Linked DNA regions of Arabidopsis thaliana. The protein of the gene in region 1 interacts with the protein of each later gene in a pairwise test. Each region holds a gene or a part of one and is shown on either strand. Other genes may lie near its edges.

Region 1 (3,925 bases):
AGCAGTCCAGTTTTCTCGTTGCTGCATATTAGACCACAAGATTTTGTTAGTTGCGCTTGGTATGATCCATGCGAATGCTACACAAGCACCAAACAGACTAAACTGTAAATCTGTTACAGTCGCAACCGCAACTCCCACAGATACAACTGTAAGTGATACCACCTGAAAAACATCAGCCACAAGGTTACTTACTATACCAAAGTTTTTCTCTTTGTTAACTCTATAAATCCAATTGACTACAAACAAATTGTGTGATAAAGAGAGAAAATCTCATTTACCTTCATGAAAGAAACTCTCTTTCTATACCACAAGAACTCTGCAAACACGATAGAAGGCGTAACAGCAATTTTCGCCATCTGGTAGAATCCAACACTGAGAAACAAAAACAACGAAGTGAGAAACAGTATGAGACAGAGCAATGTATGAAAACAAGGGAGAGCAAAAAAAGAGAGAATGTTTCCAAAACCTGTTATACTTAAGGCTAACATTAGCTAGTCCTGTAGAGAGTGACATTACAATGCCAAGAGTATAGAGCGGAAGCAACGATGATTTCGTGGAAGGCGGTGAAGCAGGAAGGAGCGAAAAGGATTTGAGAAGAGCCATTAGTAGATAAGCTACAATGTAGTGAATGAATGTGAGGAACACTGGAAACTCAAAGCCTATATTTTTAAGAACCTGCAATCAAAGAAGCAAAAAAAGCTGATTACTTTGATGTATTTAACACTAATGAAGATGTTAAAATGAGAGGTTGGTTAGTTAAAACTTAAAAGTACCCATTTGTTCATGAAGATAATGCTAATAGCAACAACGAAATTGAAAGTAAGAGCAACAGTTGGGCCACAGATACGATGTTGTTGTTGTTGCTGTCTCTTTGGAGTTTCCGGTGAACGGAATCTGTTGAATAACGATGCTCTCAAGTCCTCCAATGCTTTTCCTGAATTAGAGAAACCATTGTTACATAATCAAAATCAACTCTTTGGTGATAAAACCCTAATCTAAAAAAATTGGGGGTTTGCTATGATAAGATTGGATAATCAATCCTAAAAGGAACAAGAGATGTTTCAAAGGAAACGGTTATCAATCATAGAAGTCGAAATCGAAATTGAAAGTAAAAGTTTTGAAATTTACCTCGTTCACCAGCATCACTGTCTTTGCGTTTGAGGATCTTCTTCACATCTTGTCGAAGCCAAGAACTAAACATCTTAGGTGTCAGTAACATTTGTTGCTTGTTTCAAAAAGCTTTTTAGTTTGAGATTCGAATTCGAAACTCATAAGCCAAGAGGAGAGAAATCAACACTGACCCACATCTCGAAAAATCGTTCCTTTATGAGAAAGTGGAGAATCGAAAAAGGGTCTCTCTGTGTGTGTGGGGGTACTGACTACTGATGTTGTTGGTTTCTGAGATTAAGATTAGGGAGAAGAAGAAAGGAGACAAAAAGAGAGAAACACGTGGCGGAGATAACGGGAAGATGGAGATTGAAGAGAGTATTATTTTGGTGATTTGAGCAAATCACGGTTTCTTCACCGACCATTAAAAAAAACACAGAGGTAGTGAGTGTCTGGCTCTGTCACTTGAAAAGGAGAGGGAATGAGTAAACCAAACACTTTAGTAGTCTCTAGACTCTACTGTCTCTTCTTCTTGCTTTCACGCGTGAATTTTTTACCTATTTTATTTTTTCCGCGTTCTTTATTTTCAAAATAAAATTATAGAATGGGATAAACATTACATTAATTAACTATTCAACCGAGAAAAAGAAAAGAATATAATAATATCAGTCGACAGAAAAACAAAGGAAAGCTCTTTTGGCTTTTCATCGAGTGATTTCCGTATCCGATAATGAATATATGACGTGGCCAAACCTGTCTGACACGTAGGACCTATTTACGGTTTCTGTTAACCAGTTGTTCACAGTCTGTTCGATGTTTGTGTGGAATTGATTGATGTCTCCTTACATTCCAGATTCATATGCGGGTGTTGAATTGTTCGACATTAAAAATGTTTCCGGTGTTCGACATTAATCTTAAAATCGTGGTTGTTTTTAATTTTACAACAAACAACCTCGACTTTACTTCAACATTTTCATTAGTAATGCTTTGATTTATACTTCAATGTTTTCTCATGAGTATAACTTTCTTAACGACTATTGCATCCGTGTTCAGTAGGTGTAGTAATAATATGGCCAACAACGCTTTGCCACTTGAATAACTAGGTCACACTGAGAGTAAAAATTTTCCATTTTTTCGAATTTTGATTTCTTGGTTAAAATCTTTACCAGTAATGATTCGAAAGGTAGTCGATCATATTACAAAAAAAAAGACCAAAAAGAAAACCAGTAATCCAAAGTTGCTCGACCAACAAACCCCGAAAAACTGTACTTGGGGGGTTGGGTTTCCGAAAAATATCAATAAATCCATCATACCAAACCAAACGTTTTTTTTTCTGTTAGTCCTAAAAGAGTATCAAACAATCTCATCAGTGTCTGAGAGATAATAAACTGGCCTCCAAATCAGAGTGAACCTGAGAAAAAAATAAAAGCAAACTTGTTATTTTCAAATTTTCAAATTCATTTCAGTCCTGCATAAAGCTTAAACCAAATCCTTACTACAGTTTAAATTCAGGATAAGTTCTACTACACAAGCTGACCAACCCAAACTTTTCTTATGAATCTAGTTCAATTGATAATCACAAGCTGTAAGTTACTATTACCTTCTCCAGAAGAATTTTTCTTCTTGCCCCAGAATTTTAGTACTTTCAATTTGTTGCTTATAGGAGCTGCAGGCACCGGAATGAATTTCCCGACCAAAGCAAGAGGCCAACTGTTCAAATTACAAAGGTTCAACTATAACGTTAGTTATGTTTCAACAAGCATTGCACATATTATTTATAAATATGTATCAACATTTTCAATTGTAAACAATATTATAATGAAAGTGACCTGATAACACCGATGCCAACACAGATAAGCCATTGCTTCCAGTTTAGTTTCGTCGTGGAAGCGAATTTACCAAGGAACTCAACAATGATAACCTGGCAAACGAAAATAAGACGGTTTTGATTTAGAAATAAGAGTTTGTGAAATGTAACTTACTAAGTTTTTCTGATACACCAAATCATTATTTACCTGGAGCACAAGAGTTATGACTATTATTCCCATAAAGAGACGATTCTTGATCACACCTTTGAAGATGTTCTTCTCATCTGGTTTACGAGCATTGAACTCATTGAAAGCCTGTAAACAAAGAGTTCGATTAACATTTACGTTGACATTCTGGTTTTAATACAGTAAGGGAAGACTTTGATTTAATTAACTCACTTGGCAGAGAACAAAGGCGTTGAAGATTATTGTGTTCTTCACTCTAGTGGCGTGTTCATGCACTTCATGCTCCAGGCCAAGTATGCTTATGCCTCGGAAATTGAGTGTTAACAATACACTCACTTGATAAATAGCCTGAAAGAATCACATTTCAACTTTTTAGTAATATATAAGACGGGGTGATTTCAAATAACAGAGTCTATTCACTGATTTTTTTACCTGGATCAGCAAGTTTCTCCACATGATGTTGGTAATAAGAGGTTCTCTGCAAAAAGAAGTCGAAGCAAAGAAAGATAACAATAAGTCTATGTCTACAAAACCAAATGTTTTATTAAGTTTGAATGAGAGAAGGCGGAAAAAACAGTACTTTCTGCCAACTGGAGGCCTCCCCATGAGGTGATCAGTGGGTGGTTCAGTAGCCAAAGCCAATGCTCCAAGAGTGTCCATTATCAGATTAACCCAGAGAAGCTGTATGTTAAAGAAAACGCCAAATATATGAGCAAACTTATAATATTTAGAGAGAGAGAGATATTCAAAAAGAGCTAAATGCAACAGAAACTCAAACCTGCACAGCGGTAAGTGGAACGTCACCACTCGAAATAGCAGCTACA
Region 2 (3,925 bases), on another chromosome or scaffold:
CAAAATTTTACAACAAAGAGATAGAAAAGAACACACACCACTCCCATCATATAGTGGTTTCATAAATCATATCAACAACCGCTAAGAACTCACGGCACTAGGCTCTATCTTAGTCGTAACCCAAATCTCCATCACATAGCCTTCAAAAGGTTGAAATAAAACTGCAAGCTGCTCTTCTCCAAATGCAGATAGAGTCGCAATATCATAATTAGCCTCAAACGGCAGAGGCAGAGTCACGTCTCAGTTTACAATTACAATTACAATTAAAATGTTAAATAAGATTTACGTAGCAACAAGGTCGTTGTAGTATAGTGGTAAGTATTCCCGCCTGTCACGCGGGTGACCCGGGTTCGATCCCCGGCAAAGGCGTCTTTTTTATTTTGAAAATTTTCCACAAATCCGCTGTGTCGTTCATCTTTCTACATTTCCGATTCAAAACCATTAGAGCTACACAAAGAACAAACAGAGCAAAAGTTTCCAAAACATAGAAACAAAAGAACACACTACAATCAACCTCATAGCCTGAAAAGACGATCGTATCTCCTTCATAGCATCCTTCATAGCATCCTTCATTGCATTACTGAAATCAACAACAATAAGAACACGCAGCCAAGGAATAGAAAACAACAAGAATGAATTACGGCAAAACTTCTTCTGGGACTGATTATAGCACAAGGGCTAGAGGAAACCCATTGACATGGTTATTTGACTCTCAACACCACACCCACACCAATTCCTTTCAGGTAATTTTGTTTCTTATTTCTCTTTTTCTTTTTTTTCTTGGTAATGTGACAGTTTTGTTGGTTTAATTTGTAACATATCTGAGTAGAAAGAATTTTAAAAACTGTATAATTCACCGGAAATATTCTTCAAAATAGCAAAAAGAAAATGGTGTCACCAAGAGAAAGTTATCTCATAGGAAGAGAAGAAGACTCCTTTACTTACAAGTTTAAAAGAAACATTAATTTTTCAAGTGAAGCTTTCCTTCATCATGTAGTGCTCTTAGAGGAGTACAAAACAACAAAAACGAACATGTATGCTTCAAGTTGTCAAAGAAGGCTGAGTTCATCAAAAGGAGTTGGAACTAAATAAGCTCAAGAAAGACTTTTTTTTTATCTATGTACAATGTATAATTATATAGCATATAGCATATAACCCCACCCCATATGCTTAGCAGTTAGCAAGCTCTGTCGAACTACATCAGCTTTGTATGTCTTATGGCGGCAAATTTCTTCTATGTATGTTTCTAACAAAGTTTGTTACTTGTTAAGGTTGATTCTGCCTCTGTTTTCTTTCATCGGAGTATACAGTAGCTGGCTGAGTGACCACTTGCCAGCTAGCTAATTGGTCCTGGTTCTGATATTAGGAAAACAAGCAGAATTGATGTCAAACTGTAACAAACAAAAATTTCTAACGTTTCTTATCAAATCCAAAACTCAAAAGAACACTGAACTTGGAACATAAGAACATGTAAGAAAGAAATCCCCTTTTTCTGTATGTAAGAAAGAACTTTGGAACATAAGAACATGGAGATTGACACTATTTAAATAAACCCTGTTCCACACCTTCGCGATCCCAAGAAACTCTCCTTCCCTTGCAGCTTCTGCTTTACTAATGTGCTTTGATAAAGCGTTCCACGTTTTGCAAGTCACTCGGACTTCTCTCATCGATTTCACTGGAACCCTTGAGAGTATTTCCTCTACCAATTCCCGGGGAAGATCGGACATCTTCTCCATATTTTTTTCTTTTATGGTTTCAACAATCAACAAAGATCGTTGTAGTAGAATTAGGGTTTCTTCTTATATCCCACGTCTCAGTTTATAGATTAAAATTAAATAAGTAAATAAAACTAACGTAGCAACAAAGTCGTTGTAGTATAGTGGTAAGTATTCCCGCCTGTCACGCGGGTGACCCGGGTTCGATCCCCGGCAACGGCGTATTTTGTTTTCCTGTTTTATTTTTTTGAACTCTGCTTAAATATTTTTATTGAAATTTCCCATAAATCCGCAAAGTCGTTCATCTCCCTACATTTCCGATTCAAAACCATTACAGCTACACAATGGACAAACAGAGCAAAAGTTTCCAAAACAAGAAAAATAAAACCCAAAAAAAAAAAAAAAAAAAAAAAAAACCAGAAAATCACCATCACCGGAATCCGTCTAGCGGAACGACGGAGACATCTTCCTTCTTTGCATGTTACCGCCGTTTCTTGGCCGTAGAAGATATAAATATTGATAGTCGTATATAAAAAAAAAACATATAAGACAAGGTACATAAGAAAAAAACAATTTCGTTAAAGAAAAAATGGCTGGAGGAGGAGGTGGTAGCACTTCTGGAGAAGGTCCTAGAGAGCTCGATCAGACACCGACATGGGCCGTCTCCACTGTTTGTGGCGTTATCATCTTGATCTCTATCGTTCTAGAGCTCATGATTCACAAAATCGGAGAGGTAATAAAAACTAACACAATTTCTCAAAGATTGCTCTACATTTTATGATTTCTTATTACACCAGTCATTGATTGTTCTTTCGCAGGTTTTCACTGAAAGAAGGAAGAAAGCTTTGTACGAAGCGCTTCAAAAGATCAAGAACGGTACCAAACCCTCCAATTGATTTTTTTTTTTTTTTTTTTCGTGGGTTACAAGTTTTAGAACTTTTTGTGTTATTGATTTTGCAGAGCTTATGGTTTTGGGATTCATTTCTTTGTTATTAACATTTGGACAAAACTACATAGCAAGTTTGTGTGTGGCGTCAAGATACGGCCATGCGATGTCCTTTTGTGGTCCATACGATGGTCCAAGTGGTGAGTCTAAGAAGCCAAAGACTACCGAACACTTAGAACGTCGTGTTTTGGCTGATGCTGCTCCAGCTCAGTGCAAGAAGGTCAAAATCTTTCTATATATATTTTTTTTTTTGCTTAATTAGATAACATGGTTGAAATTGATGAAGATGAATGTTTTTGATGTATGCAGGGCTATGTACCGCTTATATCACTCAACGCGTTGCATCAAGTGCATATCTTCATCTTTTTCTTGGCTGTGTTTCATGTCATTTATAGTGCTATTACCATGATGCTTGGACGAGCAAAGGTATATTTGCATATATAATGTTTACTTAATGTCGTAGCAATGTGTATGTGTTTGTGAGATTTTGATTGTTGGATTATGCAGATTCGTGGATGGAAAGTTTGGGAGGAAGAAGTCATAAATGATCATGAAATGATGAATGGTTAGATTATTGAGCTTATAGTTACAGATGCCATTCACATTTCAAACAAGAATATCAATTTCTTATTACTTTGGTGTAATTTACAGACCCTTCAAGGTTTAGGCTCACACATGAGACATCATTTGTTAGAGAGCATGTCAATCCTTGGGCCAAAAATAGATTCTCATTCTACGTTGTAAGATTTTGATCGTTTGTTTTTATTATTCCATCTCTTGTTTCTATGTATCTAAAGCAAGAGAGACTTTCCTTGTTACTCTGTTTTGTAGATGTGTTTCTTTCGTCAAATGCTGAGATCTGTCAGAAAATCTGATTATTTGACAATGCGTCATGGTTTCATAAGTGTAAGTTCCTTGAGATTATGCAAAACCATTCTTTAATTAATTTCTCCCCAAAACATTGTTTGAGATATGTTTCCAAAATCCTCGGTTACTTAGGTCCATTTGGCACCGGGTATGAAGTTTAATTTCCAAAAATACATCAAAAGATCATTGGAAGACGACTTCAAGGTAGTCGTGGGAATAAGGTACATCTTAATACTTCTTCTTCTTACACCAACGATCCTATATTCATCATTTTCGGATGCAATTTCACAATCATTCTGGTAATGCAGTCCCGAGCTATGGGCCTTTGTAATGCTCTTTTTGCTCTTTGATGTTCACGGTTAGTCTTTTTATAATCTTGTGTTGTAATATTCTTCAA

Evidence for each region.
Region 2: the proteins of AT5G57100 (region 1) and MLO5 interact in a protein complementation assay, tested with the Arabidopsis thaliana proteins (one large-scale study listed by BioGRID).

The regions. Positions count from the first base shown.
Region 1 is NC_003076.8:23,107,222-23,111,146, forward strand, and holds the start of AT5G57100 (Nucleotide/sugar transporter family protein), read right to left. Parts: upstream 1,663-3,925; 5' UTR 1,220-1,662; coding exon 1,129-1,219; intron 935-1,128; coding exon 774-934; intron 676-773; coding exon 467-675; coding exon of another isoform or gene 373-466; coding exon 279-372; intron 163-278; coding exon 1-162. Other genes in the region: ACA8 (autoinhibited Ca2+ -ATPase), read right to left, coding at 2,508-2,518, 2,708-2,817, 2,937-3,028, 3,123-3,230, 3,315-3,449, 3,534-3,579, 3,682-3,782, 3,880-3,925.
Region 2 is NC_003071.7:14,242,834-14,246,758, forward strand, and holds the start of MLO5 (Seven transmembrane MLO family protein), read left to right. Parts: upstream 1-2,117; 5' UTR 2,118-2,304; coding exon 2,305-2,448; intron 2,449-2,533; coding exon 2,534-2,591; intron 2,592-2,675; coding exon 2,676-2,881; intron 2,882-2,970; coding exon 2,971-3,087; intron 3,088-3,168; coding exon 3,169-3,226; intron 3,227-3,312; coding exon 3,313-3,401; intron 3,402-3,492; coding exon 3,493-3,567; intron 3,568-3,660; coding exon 3,661-3,749; intron 3,750-3,836; coding exon 3,837-3,886; intron 3,887-3,925. Other genes in the region: AT2G33655 (F-box and associated interaction domains-containing protein), read right to left, coding at 82-213, 505-654, 1,566-1,736.